Linked DNA regions of Mus musculus. The protein of the gene in region 1 purifies or fractionates together with the protein of each later gene. This does not show direct contact. Links are inferred from orthologs where the notes say so. Each region holds a gene or a part of one and is shown on either strand. Other genes may lie near its edges. The genes, in order: Prmt8, Hnrnpu and Ewsr1.

Region 1 (6,358 bases):
AAGGAGCTCAAGGCTTGCCTGGGGTATGGGAGACCCTGTCTCGAAAGAAAAAAGTGGCCCTAGGAGATTCTGGGATGGAAGACAGAGCAGGAAGTGAGGTCGGGGACTGCCCTGATGTTTCCCTACACCATACACAGATTATTGGCCACAAACTGAATCAGCTCATGAACAAGTTTAAGAGACCAAAATCAAAGGGGTGGAAGGTGTACTCAAGCCACAACGCCTCACACAGGAGGCTCCATGCCCTAGTATCTCACCTTGTTCCAGGTCTGAAGATGGTGGTCACAGTATATAGAGTCACAGCCTCAGTCTCAATACTACATGCCTCACCACCACCACTACCACCACTGCTACCACCACCACCACCAGCAGCACCACCACCTCCCTCCCCTGCCTGATAACTGCCATCCTCTCTGCCTCCCCTCCCCACCTTCCCTCCCCACTGCCTTTCCCTTCCAAAGCAATCGTCTCCTCCCACTCGCATGCACTCCCATTCACACATGGCATCTTGCTAGAAATAGCAAGAGTGGAGCAAAGAGCAATGGATTGAAAGTGAGGGCAATCCATACCCCAAGCCCGATTTAACCCGCCAGCTGGCCGGAGTCACTGCCTGACCTCAGGCTACTCTGTGGTCTCCAAGAAAATGGGAAACAAATACTAACCTTCGCTTCTCTCATAGCCTTAGTATGAGCACAGAACACAAGTAGTATGCTACCACCTGCAAGACGCAGGGAAAGATGTAACCGGGCTCTCCAGTCACAACTGTGTTCACTAATTTGTGAGCTCTTTGAGGGCAAAAGCCAGGCCACTAGGGTCTTAGAAACCTACTTTTCCGGGTACAGAGTGAGTACCTGCTAGAGACTGGACAGCAACCGTTGTCATTCCCGCCCCTCCCCCCCCCCGCCCACACACTCCACACATCCACAAGTGTGCTCTTGGTACCCCTAAGATGTGCAGGCAATGCAACCCCCTCAATACCCCACTTTGGAAGCACCACTTTGCTCTTAGCTTATTCCAAAAACAGCCTGCCCGTTCCTGGAGGAAAACCAAGCAGTAGTCACGAGGCCTGTATGCCTCACTGGGCACGTTTGACCAAGTCTGGGTTGCATCCTTTCTCCAAGGAAGTTGCTGAGAGCTGAACCTTCCCATGTTCCGCTTTGATTCATTGTCATCTAAGGGGTCTAAGACCAGCTGGGTTCTCTCTCTCTCTCTCTCTCTCTCTCTCTCTCTCTCTCTCTCTCTCTCTCTCTCTCTCTCTTCCTCCCTCCCTCCCTCCCCACTCCGTCGTCCTCCCCCCCCCCCTCCGCCCCTGCCACCACCGCTTCTACTGCTGTTTTCATTGATGCCTTGAGCAGAGCTGGCATGTGCGACTGCTGAGAAGGGGGAGCTCAGAGCAGCGGGGGAAGCGAGTAAAAATAGCCTGTCGCGCGTCGCTCTGCCTGCTCCGGACGCCTTTAACCCTCACCGAGGTGGAGAGAGCCGCAGCCGCCACTGCACACTGCGGAACGTGGCCCGGGTCTGCACTAGACCCCACACGCCAGTCCGGGTGATTGTGGACGAGGACCCACGAAAACTTTTTTTATTTTTATTTTCTATTTTTTTTTAAGACAAGTGAAGATGAGGTGGGATAGGGAAAAAGCAGGGAAGAGCTATAGCTACTGGGTTGCAGGGACTGCTACAAGCTGGCTGGCCCAACACTTCACCAGTGCGCGGCCTTGAGACTCCAAGCTATTTTTAGAAACCTGTTCCGCGGGTGGGCGATCAGAGGGCGGAGGGGGAGGGGAATGCTGAGCGTCTGGTGCTATTACTCGGTTTCAAAGACTCTGCTCCCAGGTTGGGGTGGGGAAGAGGATGGTCCAAGGAACGACATGCAGAATGGCTTTGCCCTAACTCAAGGAGAAGACATTAACTGCTGTATGCCCCTCATCTTCCAGCCCCAGATCGTGTTTGTTTCAAAATCGACAGTTGCCAGAAGCATGCTGCCTCTAGTGTCCAAGGAATGGGTATTCTTAAGCTTTGCTGCCTATACCGTGAGGCGGGGAATGAGTTGTGACCTCTAGGAAAGAAGGCCGGGAAAGGTCTTCACGTTGTTTTTGCTTTCCCGCAAGGCCTGGACAGTCTCCGCGCCACACCCCCATCTCAGCCCCACGCTGCATATGGGTTACCGTATGTGAAATGTACGGCAGCCCCACCAGACACTGGGCTATTAATAGAGCCCCGGAGTTTGCTCTGTGTCTTTTTCCTGCCACCGAATAAGGGATGATCACACACACGCCCCACTCCACCCCCACCTCGGCGCACAGTTCCTCTGTGAAGGTAAGGGGGCTGCCCATGCCGATCCCCTCCATGACTACAGGTGCCCAAAACCAGGGAAAAATCCCATTGTGATGACAGCTGGGTCAGAGCGAGGCGAAAGAACACACTTGCTCGGGACGCAAAGACCCGCTGGGCTCTCTGCAGCTCAAGGCCAACTCCGGAGTAGAGAAAGGGCAGATACGGGGCGGCCGTAAGGACTGCCGAAGACGGAGGGCAAGAGTATCATTTGCGGAGCTAGAGCGGCCTCCTTAAAAGCTGCTGCGGGACAAGTGGCCGCAGACCGGTTTCGCGCTGCAGCCCAGGGCGCACAACCCCCGCTGCTTGTGCGGGCTAAGCTGCGGCAGGCGCGGGCGCTGTCCCTGGTGCTGAATGGGGCCGCGGTCGGTGCGCCCTCCCAGGGTTCCGCTCTCCCTCGGCGCCTTAAGCACCCTAGGACTGCAGACCTCCGGCCCAGCTGTGGACTGGGGACTGCGGGGGAGGTCAGGTGCAGGTGCTTAGTACTGCCACCAGGTCGGCCCCCTAAGGCCGGGAGCTCTCCGCGGTGTTGCAGGGACCCATAGCTTGGGGACCACCTCGAGCTTGAAGGGTAAAGCCCAGGTAGCGGTGGGAGATAATCGGTGCACTGCAGGGAGCAAACCTGGCCCTAATATAACCCACTCCAGCTCTTCGTAAAGCCGGGATCCGGGATCACTATCGGAATCCTGTGCACAGGGGCAGGGGAGCCGGGCTGCCCAAGGTTTGGGACTTAGGGGAACAGGAAGGGAGCAGAGGGTGGCAGGAGAGGGTGATGGGGCTGAAAATTTAGATTTTCAAGGGGGAAAGGAACTGAGACGTGCACCGTCGCCCCCCACACACACTCCTACACTTCTCTCTCTCTCTCTCTCTCTCTCTCTCTCTCTCTCTCTCTCTCTCTCTCTCTCGGCAGGGACAAGCGGGATGGGGAAAGTTTGGCACCACGGCGTTGGTGGTGGCAGCAAGCAGCGGCGGCACACAGGGGTCCCAGTGGGAGGCAGGGTCGCTGAAAACCCCGGCCCGGTCGCCTCCTTACCTCGGTGCTTTCGACTGCATTCTCCGCCATTTTCCTCCGGAGGAGCAGGCAGCGGGAGGAGTGTTTCATGCCCATAAGAGCCAACAAGGGTTTGGGGATTCGAGATAGTAAAGAACGAGAGACGGCTGATGTGGCTTTAAAAGAGAGCCTAAGAATGCAAGAGGAGGGGGGAAAAAATCCCAGCCAGCCCCTCTCCCGGAGCGTCCTCCGCGACAATCGAGCTCTGTGGAGTCCCTCCTGCGGTCGCCACTTTGTTCACGTTTCCTCGCTCTTCATCTGCCTCGCATCCCTTCGCACACTTGCAAGTTCTGGTCGCGCTCACGACCCCCTCCGCGCCCCTCTCCCCTGCGCGGCGGGCTGGGCGGGAGGGAGGGAGGCGGCCCCGCGGGCTCGCCGGCAGAGGCAGCGGCTCCGAAGTCCGGCAGGCGGGAGGCGGACGGCAACTCTCCCAACTTCTGCCGATCGCTGGGCGAAGCAACACGCGTCCTGCTCGGCGCTCCCGGGGGCTGAGCCGGTGAGTGGGGGCGGGGTGGGAGGTGCGCGGGAGCGAGCGGGTGGCGGGGCGCTGACGGCGGAGACCCCCAGCCCGCCCCCGTGCCCGGGACCGCGGGGTCTGGGGGCCGCCTGCGCTCCGCTGCGCTCCTGGCGCGGCGCACACCTGGCGCGGGGGCTAGGGCTGCGCGCACGCTGCGGGGCCGCGCGCCAGGCTCCGGGAAGCAGGCGTCCACGAGGCTGCTGGAGGGTCTCAGCCCAGTGCAAGTCCTTCTAACGAGGGCAAGCACCGGACAAGACTCAGCCACGGTTACCAAATGTCTACGCCCCTCACCCCTCCCCAGCCCCCCCACCCGGTCGATTCCTGGATCCTTCCTGCGCGGATTACTGTTTGGGGCATGAACAGGGTGGGTGTCTGGATGGGAGGGGGAAGTCCTCAACTCCTTCAACTCTAGGTCCTCTCTATCTAGCTTTTCTTCACCCTCAGGACCCAAGACCAGAAGGCCTTCAAACCCCTCTCAGGAGGACCGGGTTGAAGTGAAGGTGGCTGCCTGAGGTGGCTTGGGAAAACAACCAGGAACAAATCAATAAAAGGGTCCGCGGTCTAGCTCCCCTACCCCTGTCTAGCCTGTCAGCCCCCACTCCCGGGGGGACACACATCTCTCCCCCTCCCCTACAGCCCCTCCCCCACCTTCACCCTCTCCTGACGTCCCTTTTATGGGAGAGAGCCGTGAGGATGTCACGTACCCATTAGGATTCTCTCGATCCTTTTTTAAGGGAGAGTTTGGGCGGCAGCGGGGGGTGTGAATTTTTATACAATGCATTCCTGTCTTCACTTTGAGAGCTTTTTTTCTCTCTTTCGGGCCATCTGTCAGGCATTGAGGGATAGAACAATGGGGGAGGGAGGCCATACTCAGGACTCTGTAGCTGGCTATCTCCGGGAAAGCTGAACCTTCAGGCTTTCTGGCCCACAGGTCAAGGTCAGGGACCGCACAGATGTGCCAGGAGCTTTCTTCCCGCTTCATCTCAGTCCTTAGTTGAGTTATTTAAACCAATCGCCCTGTTTAGTCTGATCATAGCCTTTGATAGCCAAGAAGTGTAAGAGTGACTGTCCTCAACTAACCCAGGTTCATTGAGGAAAAGGGCCAAAACCCAGCTCGGCTCACGGTGATAGATACTTCTATCAGACCAAGATCCTCAGGCAAAGAGAAGAGACATGGCCGTGAGCAGAGGTGAGGAGTAAAAAACGGGAAGAGGAGGGAGATGAGAAGGATTAAAGAAAATATAGCAAGAAGCTTGGGTTAACCGCACTGATAATCCCAAAACAAGAGTAAATTCCCCTCAACCTTCTCAAACCACAGACCTGAATTCGAGTTGGGCATGAATGAGCAGTCTTTGGCAATGCCTGATCCTTCTTCACTCCCATCCTGCCATCCTGCCATCCTGCCACACACAGTATGGAGGAGGGGACATAACTGCATCTAAAAAATGACTTTTACCTCCTGCTTTTCTTCCCCTACTCGTCTTCTCTCAGATAAGGCTCTGAGATGCTGGATCAAAAGAGGCTTAGTACGTATGCAATCAAATAAGACTAGAATAGCAAGATTCCCCACCCACACGTTGGTCCAGTCCTCTTACAGGTAAGGACTCCGGATGAAAGAGAAGGGGGCAATTGTCTAAGGTCCCTCGACAAGCTGCAGGAGCTTCAGTAAACCAGCTCCCCAGCCTCTTGACTTCCAACCCAACCCTGTCCCCACCCCACACTCCTTCTGCTTGTTCATCCATTCTGTGACTAACAGGGGAGGAGGGGAGCTGAAACAGGCTCCCACCGAAATAGGCTGCTGTTGTGCGTGATTATGTTGCTATGAGAACCTCAGTGGGGGTGTTTCCTCAGTTCTCTGTTGAAATCTTTTTACTGTGCTTGGCTTCTCCCCAAGTACAGACACAGCTCCTGTTGGAATGGGAAAGGGACATGGAGAGCTGTGTTTTTACAGCAAGAGTTTGCTATGCCAACTCAAAGGCAGCCTGGGGCACAGAGGTATCTAGGCCACTAAGGTTGCTCTGCAGCGACCTGAGGAAAGCATGGTGACCTATCACAGGTGATGCTCCGACCCTCCTCGAACACTCTTGGATCTGAGATTTGGTCCCTGCTGTGCACCCACCTAATTACAAACTCACAAATCATTGAAAGGTAGAGTTTGGGGAGCCGTGTTACTCTTGAATGTTGCAGGTAAAAATGTAGAGGCTCAGGCCTCCATGTGCACGTGCGCGCACGCGCGCGCACACACACACACACACACACATGTATGCCCATACAAACATACAAGAATTACCTGAAGACTCACCTCCCGGGATTGTGAAAAATCCATGATGTATGAAAAACACACAGTAGGACTATTAGAAGCCAGCCCTTTTCTGTCTCTTTTGCATGAGTATCAGAATATTCTCTTATCAAGTTAGCTTAATTAATTATCTCAATTAATCCACATGATCCTCACTGGG
Region 2 (6,268 bases), on another chromosome or scaffold:
TTTAGTGACAGGAAGTTGCCTAACATGGAACCTTGGACACACAAAAGCAGTTGAAACTGGGAAAATAGAAGACTGTTGTTTGAAGGATCATTAACACATTTTAAAAGGAAAAAAATTGGTCTGAAAATATGTATCTAAGGCCTGATTCTTGGGATTTGTTGTTTATAACCATTAGTTCTTAGCATTAACCTAAACATGGTAACATGTGTGTCTTGGTGAGTTGAGAGACCTTACAGGGAGTTTAAAACTGATCTTTTTTAGAGCTGAAGCGATGGCTCAGCAGTTAAGATTATTGACTGTTCTTCCAGAGGTCCTGAGTACAAATCTCAGCAACTATGTAATGCCTCAAAACTATCTATAATGGGATCTGTTGCTTTCTTCTGATCTGATTTTTTAAAAATTCTATTCAACAGAACTTTGAAACTGATGAAGTTGAACTCTCTTATGCGAAGAATGGACAAGATCTTGGTGTTGCCTTTAAGATCAGTAAGGAAGTTCTTGCTGACCGGCCACTATTCCCACATGTTCTCTGCCATAACTGTGCAGTTGAATTTAATTTCGGTCAAAAGGAAAAGCCATACTTTCCAATACCTGAAGACTGTACTTTTATCCAAAATGTCCCCTTAGAGGACCGAGTTAGAGGACCAAAAGGACCTGAAGAGAAGAAGGATTGTGAGGTAAGTTTTATTGTGTGATGGTGTGGATTGTGTTGCAGTTGACATTAGGAGAAGGGTAAAAAATGAGTGGGTTATAGATTTGTTACTATTTACTGCTGAGAGACAAAGTCGTGATGGCGCTTCTTTTTCTCACTGTAGGTTGTAATGATGATTGGCTTGCCAGGAGCTGGAAAAACTACCTGGGTTACTAAACATGCAGCTGAAAACCCTGGGAAATACAACATTCTTGGAACAAATACGATTATGGACAAGATGATGGTAAGTAACAATTGAAATGAAAGTGTTGAGAAGGCGTGGGGAGTAGAGCAAAGGGCGAGCAAAACACTATACCCTGGCTTTAGTCTTCAGCACTATGACAAATAAACAGGGTCAGAAATTATCCTGGGTTAATGTTGGCTTGTGTTTTCATTTATTTTAATATCTTAGAGGAAATGATTTTTGCTAAAACAAATTGGGAGTACTTTTTATATCTTCCAGTGACTGCTTTTTCATAAGTCATTAACAGCAGTACCAAAAACTATGTATTTTTTGGTTACTATTGAAAGGATACAACTGAGTATTTATAAAATGATGCCTGGTTCCTGTAGTTCTAAGCTTTTTACAATATTTTGTTAGGTGGCAGGTTTTAAGAAGCAAATGGCAGATACTGGAAAACTGAACACACTGTTGCAGAGAGCCCCACAGTGTCTTGGCAAGTTTATTGAAATTGCTGCCCGTAAGAAGCGAAATTTTATTCTGGATCAGGTAAGTAGTAGCTTTGAAGTTAAAGAGAGAAATCAACTGATAATTGGTAAGGTGTAACATTAACGTCTTTAACATTTTCCCCTCAAGACAAATGTGTCTGCTGCTGCCCAGAGAAGAAAAATGTGCCTGTTTGCAGGCTTCCAGCGGAAAGCTGTTGTAGTGTGCCCAAAAGATGAAGACTATAAGCAGAGGACACAGAAGAAGGCAGAAGTAGAGGGGAAGGACCTACCAGAACATGCTGTCCTCAAGATGAAAGGCAAGGAATTCACTTTATTTTTACTGTCTTAAGTACGGTTTGGGGATTTATACCTAGAAAATATCTTCACACTTAGAGATTATATTAATCTGCTAAATAGAAACTTGTATGGTTATTATACAAAGAATGTGATGAAGGCCGTGACCAGATAACTGAAAGTTGAAAGAATTAAACACATTCAGAGATAAAGTTTATAGAATTTACATGTTCATAATTGATTTATAAGTTTGACTTGATTCCCTGTAGGAAACTTCACCCTTCCAGAGGTTGCAGAATGCTTTGATGAAATAACCTATGTTGAACTTCAGAAAGAGGAAGCCCAAAAGCTTTTGGAGCAATATAAAGAAGAAAGCAAAAAGGCACTGCCACCAGAAAAGAAGCAAAACACTGGCTCAAAGAAAAGCAATAAGAATAAGAGTGGCAAGAACCAGTTCAACAGAGGTGGTGGCCATAGAGGCCGTGGAGGATTCAATATGCGAGGTGGCAATTTCAGAGGAGGAGGCAAGTTAATTTTGCCTGTTGGTATTTGGAATTTGAAAATGAATGAGTTTATTTTTTAAGTTAAATAGGAAGTTAGTTTCTTTGATAATTTGCTGCCATGTTTGACTAATACACAATGAGGGGAGTGTATTGGGTATACTTAAAACTGGGCATTGCTTACTTTTTCATTAATGATAAGAGATAACTGTATGAACTCTTCCTTAAATGTGTGACAGCTAAACTAAACCCTTTGTGCATTTATTTAGCTCCTGGGAATCGTGGTGGATATAATAGGAGAGGCAACATGCCACAGAGAGGTGGTGGCGGTGGAAGTGGTGGAATTGGCTATCCATACCCACGTGGCCCTGTTTTTCCTGGCCGAGGTGGTTACTCAAACAGAGGGAATTACAACAGAGGTGGAATGCCCAACAGAGGGAACTATAACCAGGTATTGATTTGCCCTGAAATGTTGTAGATGAATGGATGTTGGGAGTCTTAACTGGCGGCGTTGACATAGTTGTGAAACAATTTAGTTATTGGACTTTGCTTTTTCAGGTCATTAATAACAGCAGTGAGCTTGGGGAATAAGGGTTTCTGCTTACCCCTCCCTAAAAAATAGCCAACCATTGCTTGAGAGCTCTTAACAGATTTTTTTTTTTTTAAACTTTCATAGAACTTCAGAGGACGAGGAAATAATCGTGGCTACAAAAATCAATCTCAGGGCTACAATCAGTGGCAGCAGGGTGTAAGTAGTTTCTTAAATGCTTACATAAATTATGTGTTATGTTTACAAGATTGAGACGGAAGTTCTTACCTAGGAATTGAAGAGTTTTATACTTTAATAGGACAAGGTGTCTATAAATTGTTACTGTGTTATTGTTACTGTAACCATGGATAGGCTGGATTTTAACATTACTTTAGATAAAGTAATATTTAATACATATGGTTGTTTTACTACATGGTCATTTTTAATAGTTTTAATTACATAAACTAACCCTAAGTCTTGTGTTTCCTTTGGTAATGTGTATTGGTAAATAATATGGGTAATTGGTAAATTAAAATTAAGTCTCTGATCTGATGTAGAAATTAAGTGTGATAAATTTGTTTCCAGCAATTACTCTGAATTAGATCATTGTCATTTCCTAAAAACAATTTGAGTGGCTTATTGATGTTTTTTTCTTTAAAAACAAAATTTTCTCTTACAGCAATTCTGGGGTCAGAAGCCATGGAGTCAGCATTATCACCAAGGATATTATTGAATACCCAAATAAAACGAACTGATACATATTTCTCCAAAACCTTCACAAGAAGTCGACTGTTTTCTTTAGTAGGCTAACTTTTTAAACATTCCACAAGAGGAAGTGCCTGCGGGTTCCTTTTTTAGAAGCTTTGTGGGTTGATTTTTTTTTTTTTCTTTTCTTTTTTGTACATTTTTAATTGCAGTTTTAAAGTGAATCGTAAGAGAACCTCAGCATTGTGCACGATAAGAGAATGTGTCAGTATTTCAGGGTTCTACATTTTATCTGTAAAATGTGACTTTTTTTTTTATCACAACAAAAGTAAAATGTTGCTTTGTACCTGGTGTCTTTTATTAAGCATTTACTCCCCCATTTCTCACAGAGAATAACAGTCGGGAGTCATTGTCACAATAAAATAGCAATGTTAGCAGCCAGATTCATGGAAGGACTAAGGGGTCCTCATGAATTGCATTAAGATTCTGTACTGCTCATGATACACTCCATCCTCTCTAGACTGCCTGCCGGGTAATAGTGGACGGGTAATCTCTGACAAAACGGGAAGGCTATTTTTTTTCTGTTTGACAATGGAATTGGCATAATTGGGAATGAAGATAAAATTTGGAACCAAGATTGAGAAGATGGAGTGTATGTAGAAGGGCTGTTCAAAAATGTAAACTTGGTTGCATTATATGTGGAGGCTCAAACTTGTGAAGGTTAAATACCATAAAATTTTCCATTTGTTCTGCATTTTGATTCTGAAAAGAAAGCTGGCTTTGCCCATTTCTTATTAAAAAAACTTGTTGTAAATCCAGTTGTCTAATGGGATCTATATGAAGTTAGCTATGTCTGTATGCCCTTCTCCCACAAATACTGTATTACTAGTGTGCTTGTAGTAGTTAACTCCACCATCTTTGTAAGCTAATGAAATTGTGAGTCACCCATTTATATCTTAATTTTTAATCATGTCAGTTCTTGAATGGGTATCTCCTTAGCCTGCTGATTTCTTTTTCTTTCTAAAGAAAGTGGGTGGAGAAATTAATTTAGACGTTTGTTTGCAATAAAAAGAATTCATTTTACTCTTGTTTGGGATTCTCGCCATCAAGGTCTAAATCCCTTTATAGTATGACTCCCAAGAGGAGAAACTTTAAGTGTGTGCTTTCTGGACAGCTTATTCTTTACTCTGTACTTCGGAACATTTAGGTTTTAAAAACTTAAATGTATACTGATGATTGATTTTATAATATAAAGTTGAATTCTTCCCTTCCCCTCCCCCCAAGACTGCTTTTAACATTTATGAGGGGCAAAGGTACTGGCTGGGAGAAGTTAATGTTCAGTTGACCATGTTTATGAAATGTGAGTGGCTGTCCTCACCTGATAATAGACATATAATACATGAAACTTTGGGAACAGATGCTTTTAGAAGCCATCATGCAAGCCAGTCATTGATTTCACTACTACACAATGCTGCTAACTTAACTAGCTATGTGATAAATTAGATCCCCTAATTGTAATTTTATTGGGTTTGCACAGAACACTTAAATCTTGTAAAGGAGCCTCACTGTGTGAAGTGAGGAATCAGGAGTCAAACTGTAGAACTAAAATTAGAATTTAGTCTAGTTGTTAGTGTTTATAGCCTGCTTCTGGTAAGTTCAGGTTTTCCTGTATTATTAATTGCTGTAGAACTTTGTTTTAAATCAGATTTTTTTTTTAATACTTTATTATACTCTAGGAATTACTACAGGCTAGTTTCTGCAATCAGGTTGCCTCAGAAATAACACTACAAAGTAGTATCTTCTCGGCTTAGTTAACTGCTATAAACCATTGGTATGAGTATCTGCCCTACATACGTAACATTATGATTATATATTCCTAACTCTGGGAGTAATTCAGTTCAGTGGTTATCCTAATATTTTAATCTGTGCCTTTCAAAAATCTTGTATAGACCTAGTACTAGAGACGCATGGCTACAAAAAAGGGTCAAATGACAAAGTAGAACATGATACATGCATTGCCTGAAAAATTGGATGGGAGGGAAAGCTTGCTATCTGAAGTGATCTCACTAGTTACATCTGTACATGAAAGTTTTCTTTAATGGAAAAGAGGCAATCCATTCAGAGGGGGAAAAATGGCTTAAGTTTTTGAAAGAATCCCAAATATTGATAGGATCAGAATTGACTTGATAATCAAGCTGGGCATGACAACACAGGGGCTTTTAAAAAAGATACAAGCTGGAGGGCAGCCTGGGCTATATTCTATATTGTGAGGTGTTCTCTCTGTAATTAAGTACCAGCAGAGCCAAAAGCTGGGGAAGGTGGCTGCCATTGTAGATCAGTGGTAGAGCACTTATTATCAGCACCTAAGAGGTAATAAATTAGTTAACTTTGTTACTGAGAAAATGGTGTAGATTAATAGTAGCAAAGAGGCGTTCTCACTAATGTCTATAGACTATTTTAATGGCAAATATTTTAATCACATTTCAATGGCATTTTAGGTAGTATGCACTTGGGTGTGAAAGACTAGTTCTGTGTACATCAATGTGAATATAATTGATTTTTTTAAAATGTAGAATAAGCTTAAACTAATTTCTTTTTTACATAAATGTAATATATTTTTTATTAAAGTGAACAAAATTTGTAGCAGATAACTACACTCCAGCTTTCATTCTTAAGCTGTTTTCCATAGACAGATTAGCAACAGTACTTTAACCTAAAGCTACTTTTGGGTAAACTTCATTAAGAGTCTTTCTTTTCCTTCTCTATATTAAATATTCTGGTGCCTGGGTCAGTACTTGGCAATGCTTGATAGTTTTGTGGTTTGTCCAAAACACTCCGTTGCTCTCATGGAGAGCCTTTTCCTTGTATGATTTTTAGCTT
Region 3 (6,368 bases), on another chromosome or scaffold:
CCTAGCCTCATTTTGCCAAGGATACTCCAGTGTGTGCTGCAGCTTTCTGCTGTGCGTCCCTGGGCAAGCGTCCTAATCTGTGAACTGCGGATTCTGATACATTTCCCTTACAGATGGTAAGAAAAAGGATAGAGTGGAGGCCCACAACTTTCTCTTTTTTAAAGCTTTTTTTGGTGTTGCTTTAAACAAATCTCATCAGGTAACCCTATCCACAGCCTGGGATAGAAGATTGTCCTGACTAGGTGTTAAGTGCTGGGTCACAAATCTGCACCATTGCACCTGGTTCAGGCTCCAGCTCTTCCTCAAACCAACCCAAAGCACCACCTGGAGAGATGACTCATGGGAGGCACATAGCTTACAAGTAAAGGCGCAGCAGCTGCTACAAACTCTGACCCCATGGTCGTTCCCTGCCCACCGAGCATAGCTTCTCTCCTGTACTCTCCTCTCACACTGCCTTTCCTCCAGGCCCTCCCACCATTCCTGGGCAGTCCTCTGAGTCTCCTACTGAGCTGATTCAGGGCAGAAAGCGATTCGACTTAGCTTCCTTGTCAAGGCTTTCCCTTGCAGATGCCAAATATGAAAATCTCCTCTGCCTGGCCTTGCCTCCATCCCTCAATAGGCCATCTCCTACTCACTCTGAATTGTCAATGTTCCCTTCCCATATTGTGAATTTTATCCTAATGAGCAAAGTTTGGCTCCCCCCCCCCCCCACTCAAATGGCTTGTCTCCAGACTCAAGGCTGGTGTTCATTGGAAGACATATTAGCATAGTCCCAGGTCCTGCTGGGGTGAACTCCACCCTTTATTTTTGGTACTGGGTTGAAGTTCAGAAAAGCAGGCAGATTTCACCCTTACCTGGAGGCAGGGTCACCTAAAATGAAGCTTCCTCTTGCACCTTCTTACAACCATTCCATCCCTGGGCACTAGGGGACAGGTCCATGGACATAGGGAACTGGGCCTCGAGTCCTCTGGACCAGTCTCTTCTCTTTCTTGGCGATAGGAATGGAAACTAGGGCCTCATACATCATAGGCAAGCCGTAACACTCCTGCAACCATATCTTCAATTAATAAAACGTAACTTGTAAGAATCCAATAATGAATCCAGCTGCTCCTCCTAGAACACAATACACGCCTTTCTCCCCTTCAGATTCCGACCGGCCTCTAGTGAGACACTATGAGTGGCGAACTAACAGACTCGGACGCCTGGATCTCTCACCTGAAGGTGATTTTACATAAAATGGGGAACTGGGGGGCTACACATCGGGCTCCCAGCTCCCTTCCCTGCCTGCCCCGGGCCAGAAGCTCCGGCATTGAAGCCACGCCCATCCTCAGAAGGGTGCGACACGCCTACTTCTCCCACATGGACCCTGGTTTCTTCCGAGTCCTCGCCCGCCATGCTAATGTTTGTCTGTGTCTGTCCACTGTGTCAGTAACTCTCAGAAAAGCAAAACCAAAAACCCCACCAATCGCCAACAATCCGCCTCAGTGTCTTTCTGGAGCCCTTGTCAGAGACCTCAGAGCTATGCATATCACACCCTGCCTACCTTGCAGGGAAGCCAGGAGGACAGAGTGGGAAGGCAAGGACAGTGTGGCGAAGCTTCCGGGCGGTGTACAGAGAGGGGAGGCCCGGGGTCTGGGTCGCATTCAGCTTTGTAACTTTAAGGAAAGAACTCAATTTCGTGGGTTCTGGGTTTTCTGTTGAAACAAGGGGATGGGTTGAAGGACGATCACAGGGCTTCTCAACCCCGACCGTTACTGGGGTCGGGCGCGGCATTCCCGGCCTCCCTCCCAAGCCGACGGCCCTCGGTCCCCTCCCCCGCCCGCTCAGGCCACGCGTCCAGGGGCCTGGGGAGCATGTCCTCCCACCCCCACCCACCCTAGAAAACCGAGCAGGGGGGCCCGCCCGGTAAGTCCGGCCGCCGGTTCCAGGCCGAGCCCTCGGTGCCCGAAACCCGCTGCACGCACACAGAGGCGCGTGATCCCGCCCGCCGATTAGTCAGCAGTTGTTTCAGGCCGGCCGGGATCCCTTCCCCCAGCCCTCCCGCCAGCCTCCGTCTCCCTCCAGGGCAGACTCTTCAGAGACGGTCCCTAGAGCCAGCGGGCGTAACCATTCCGAGCCACCGCGCCTCGCGCCAAGGAGCTCTCGGGTTCGTGGGTAACCCTCGCTCACTGGCGCGCTGGCCCCCGAGGCGCCTTTTTTTTTTAGACCACTCGTCACGTCCGGCTCTTTGGGAGAGGATCGGGTCAACGGTTTCGGGAGCGAAGAGCCGAAGAGCTCCGGTTCGCTCCTCTTCGGCCACCCCCGAGGCCTGGCCCGATGGTAGCGTCCGAGGTTGCGGGTTTCGCGCCTGCGCAGTGCGGCGCCTAGGGGGAACGCGAGAAGGAGACGGACGTTGAGAGAACGAGGAGGAAGGCGAGAAAATGGCGTCCACGGGTAAGCGGAGTGGGATCGCGGTCCCGCCGGCGACAGCTGGGACACCCAGACTGGGAGGCGCTCGTCTCTGGGGGTGGCAGGGATGACTGAGTGAAGTCGCCGAAAGGGGTTGGAGTTCCCGCCGCGGCCCGACGAGCTCGGGGGTGGGGGTGGGGGATCCGCGTTCCCTTCCCCTCCCCCACTAGGCGGGCTGGTTCTGGAACCTTTTGGCGGCCGCGTTGCGCGCGAGGGCCTCGCGGTAGCTGAGGCGTGCAGAGCCCGTCCAGGCCTCCTTTGTGTGGTGGTTGTCGGGGCCGGGTGCTCCGGGTCTCTCGCCACGTGGGCCGGGCCTAGGGCCTCCGAGGGCCCGAAGGGGACCGCGGCTGGGCCTGGAGCCCATCACCCCGAAGGCGCGTGAAGCGAGGTGTCTGATGGCGGCTCGAGAAGCCGTGGCCGGTTTCCCGTGGAACGTCTCCTCCCATCGCTAGCCCCAGGGCAAGTGTTTACTGTGTAGGGACTCAGAAAAACAAACAAAAAGCCGTCGCGAATGTGTAAGCTGAGGGGCGCCGGCTTAAGAGGGGAGCCCCATTATCCCCCAGGCCTGGCCCGGCCCGACCAAGCTGCCCCCTCGGAGGACCTAGTTGGTTCCCCTAAATCTTCGTGCTCCCCACTCAAGAGGCTTCGATTTAATCATGAGTTAACTCCACCTCCTTCCCTACCCAAAAAGCAGTGGCTTCCCAGTGTCCTTTTCTCAGCAACCGGCGCGGGGGATCGGTTGTATAACAAGGTCCGTCTGGATCCGGAGAGGAGACTCTTTTCCAGAAAGAGATTTCTAGCAGCTTTGATCCAGGAGAGGCAGAAAAGCCTCGGCACGCCACGTTTCTGTAGGCCTGCTCGTTAAGCTAGCCGGCTGATTTATTTCTTGGCCCTATTGAGGCCAGGGGAAGAGACCCATAGCGGATTTTGAAAGTCCAGGGCGGGAACTCTAGAATGTGATGGTTATGTTGTGGTCCTTACCGAGAGAATAAGTGTAGCCTAGCCCTCACCTGCAGTTTAGAATACAGTTAACTGGCACAGTGGCGGGTTTTTTGTTTGTTTTTGTTTTTGCTTCTAGCGGAATCTAGGGTCTGGTGATGTGGCCTTGGAGGCAGGAGGAGAAAACAAGTGGGGGTGACAGGAAAAGCTCTGGGTTCTTCATTTGGCTTAGGAAAGCTTCCAGCATCACAATTTGACGACGCAAACGATGTAGTTAGTAAACAGCTTGCTTTTGGTACCAGGCTACCCAAAGTGTCCCTAAGAGAAGACTGAGATACGACTACAGTCCAATATATCCTAGTGGAAAATGGTTTCTTTGGTGGTCCTTTTACCCTTCTCTTAACCTCTAAAGCCCAAGAAGGCAATTGCAGTTTTTCTGCTTGATAGATCATTGCCACTTTTTAGTCATCTTTGTTATCAGAAAATGTTGATAGCACCCTGAACCAAATTTAAGTTGAAAAGTGTGCTCTGCTATACCCACAGTCCTGGCCCTGCTGAGGGGACTTTATTAAGGGCTTTCCTGAAAAACTTAGTTTTAGACTTTTTTTAAAGGGTCGGTGGCGATGCACCGGTGCTGGGAAGGCAGAGGTAGGTGGTCTCTGAGTTTGAGGACAGCCAGGGCTACACAGAGAAATCCTGTCCTAGAAAAAAAATTTTTTTTCTTGAGCCTTTCAGTTCTTAAAATAACTTTTTTTTTTGGTCCCAACAAACTTACCCTTGCTAGCTACAGGAATTATGTAGCCTAAACCTTCCTATTCAGCTTGGCTAATGGCTGCCCTGAAGCAAGCCACTGCCTAAGGGGAGTAATGGTTTCCCTCCTCTGTATCTTGTAGAACAGTAACTATAGAGTGTGTCCAGTAAAGCAGAATTACAGTCTCTAAATAACTACCAGAACAAAAAGTAAAACATTAGCATTCTAGGATGCCCCTACATCATAATCTCTCAGCCTGCTCTGTGTGTGTGTGTGTGTGTGTGTGTGTGTGTGTGTGTGAAGTGTTTACGTATCCGGGCATTTAAAGACTTATTTTTTCAATTGTTAAATTATCTGACCATTGCTTCAGTGTCATGCTTGTAGGTAGATAAACATGGGGGGGGGGTCGCTTTTTCCTTAGCCTACCAAATCCTTTGGCAGCACCCTCGTCTCAAGTGGTTGGCTGTTCTGTATCAGCATTGCCAATTTTACATAACTGCTCTTGTGTAAGTCTTTGTAAACATCAAACTTAATGCCAATGACTCAAAAAGTCGTTTTTACACAGAAACCTCAACAAAATGTAGGTTGCAGTATTTGCTTTGTTGTTTGTTTTTCATATAAAGAATGTGGCAAGTAGCCAGTCATCATCTAATCCTAGATTGGGGAGCGCAGCGTTTGAGGCCAGCTAAAGCTACATAGTGAGACCCTGTCTATAAATAAATAAATAAACAAACAAATAAACGGCAGAAAGGTAGACAAAGGAAGGTAGCAAGTAGGCATGGAGGTACACACCTATAATTTCAACACTAGTTGTAGACAGCCATACGGGGTCTGTAGCAAGTTTGAGGCTAGCCTGGTCTATATAACTAATTAAGGTCAGCCAGCTAAGTAGTTAGATCCTATCTCAGAACCACTACTTCACCACCACAGAAAATGTAGCTTTATTGGAAATGCTTCAGAATTTTGTTAGAGGATTATTTTCTTCATTGTAGATATCTTTTGAACAGTTTACTGATACTATTGGTAATCAGAGCTCTGAATTTAAAAGTGTAGAAGGAAAGTAGTCCCATGAGGTGCAGAAAGGTTGAAAGAGTCGATTTTAAGAGGTGAGTTCAGGCCAGGTGGTGTTGGTGCAGGCCTTTAGTCCCAACACTTGTGGGGCAAAGGCGGGTGTTTCAAAGCCATCCCGATCTACAGAGTGAGTTCCAGGACAGCCAGGGCTGCACCCCGTCTCAGAAAAAGCCAAAGGGGGGGCAGAATGAGTTCAGGAAAGTACTGTTGGCTAGGGGATTGTGAAGCAGACTTTGCATGGCGTATGCCAGAGCCTTCCATGAAGAAAGATGTCAGCTGTTACATTTGGGTGAGGGACTACTTTCTGATTGGAAAAGAAAGGACCCTTTTGTTCTGTCTTAATGACAGTGCTGTCTTTGAACACCAAACAAGATACGTATTCTTGTGGAGAGGAAATAATTGCGTATTTTTTTTAATTCTCTGCATTAAAAAAATGCCCAAAACGTAGGTAGCTTTAATTCCGTGATGTTTTGAAAACATAGGCATTTATTTTCATTACTCAACACCTCCATAGTTCAGATTTAGTTCCTTTTTTTGTTTGTTTTTTTGGTTTTTCGAGACAAGGTTTCTCTGTGTAGCCCTGGCTGTCCTGGAACTCACTTTGTAGACCAGGCTGGCCTTGAACTCAGAAATCCGCCTGCCTCTGCCTCCCGAGTGCTGAGATTAAAGGCATGCGCCAACATGCCCGGCTAGTTCCTTTTTTATTGTTTTTTTTTGAGACAGGGTCTTTTATAGCCCTGTCTGTCCTGGAACTCACTATGTAGACTAGGCTGACCTCAAACTCATAGAGATCCACCTGAGCTCTGCTTGAGTGCAGGGATGAAAGGGGTATGACACCTCACACGGCTGGTTCCTTTTGATATAATATAGGTTTCATATGAGAAGGAAAATTATAGGTAGACTTAGTTACAGAGAAGAAAATTTGTGATTTTTGTTGTTGCTGATGTTGAAATAATTTTTAGGTTTTAAGAAATGGCAATTGTGAACCTAGAGCAATTTTTCCTGTAGGCCTATTAAGTGCTGTTTTCTCTTTGACAGTTTTTGGAATTGTATTAACCTGGTCAGTTTTGTGTACATTATGCTGAAGTTGGAACCAGGGTATCCACACATCCGGTATAGTCAGGAGAATGAGCACATAGACCGACCACTTATATACTCC

The links.
Region 2: the proteins of Prmt8 (region 1) and Hnrnpu purify together in Homo sapiens (affinity purification with mass spectrometry; 3 studies listed by BioGRID and IntAct, counting the BioPlex papers as one, with this or other methods). This does not show direct contact. The link is inferred for Mus musculus from reciprocal best matches to the Homo sapiens genes PRMT8 and HNRNPU.
Region 3: the proteins of Prmt8 (region 1) and Ewsr1 purify together in Homo sapiens (affinity purification with mass spectrometry; 3 studies listed by BioGRID and IntAct, counting the BioPlex papers as one, with this or other methods). This does not show direct contact. The link is inferred for Mus musculus from reciprocal best matches to the Homo sapiens genes PRMT8 and EWSR1.

The regions. Positions count from the first base shown.
Region 1 is NC_000072.6:127,765,309-127,771,666, forward strand, and holds the start of Prmt8 (protein arginine N-methyltransferase 8), read right to left. Parts: upstream 3,852-6,358; 5' UTR 3,440-3,851; coding exon 3,365-3,439; intron 1-3,364. UniProt on the Homo sapiens protein: S-adenosyl-L-methionine-dependent and membrane-associated arginine methyltransferase that can both catalyze the formation of omega-N monomethylarginine (MMA) and asymmetrical dimethylarginine (aDMA) in proteins such as NIFK, myelin basic protein, histone H4, H2A and H2A/H2B dimer.
Region 2 is NC_000067.6:178,326,502-178,332,769, reverse strand, and holds the end of Hnrnpu (heterogeneous nuclear ribonucleoprotein U), read left to right. Parts: intron 1-413; coding exon 414-677; intron 678-815; coding exon 816-935; intron 936-1,292; coding exon 1,293-1,421; intron 1,422-1,508; coding exon 1,509-1,677; intron 1,678-1,923; coding exon 1,924-2,178; intron 2,179-2,423; coding exon 2,424-2,605; intron 2,606-2,830; coding exon 2,831-2,902; intron 2,903-3,362; coding exon 3,363-3,416; 3' UTR 3,417-6,036; downstream 6,037-6,268. UniProt on the Homo sapiens protein: DNA- and RNA-binding protein involved in several cellular processes such as nuclear chromatin organization, telomere-length regulation, transcription, mRNA alternative splicing and stability, Xist-mediated transcriptional silencing and mitotic cell progression.
Region 3 is NC_000077.6:5,095,074-5,101,441, reverse strand, and holds the start of Ewsr1 (RNA-binding protein EWS), read left to right. Parts: upstream 1-2,345; 5' UTR 2,346-2,420; coding exon 2,421-2,433; intron 2,434-2,636; exon of another isoform or gene 2,637-3,160; intron 3,161-6,368. UniProt on the Homo sapiens protein: Binds to ssRNA containing the consensus sequence 5'-AGGUAA-3'. Might normally function as a transcriptional repressor. EWS-fusion-proteins (EFPS) may play a role in the tumorigenic process.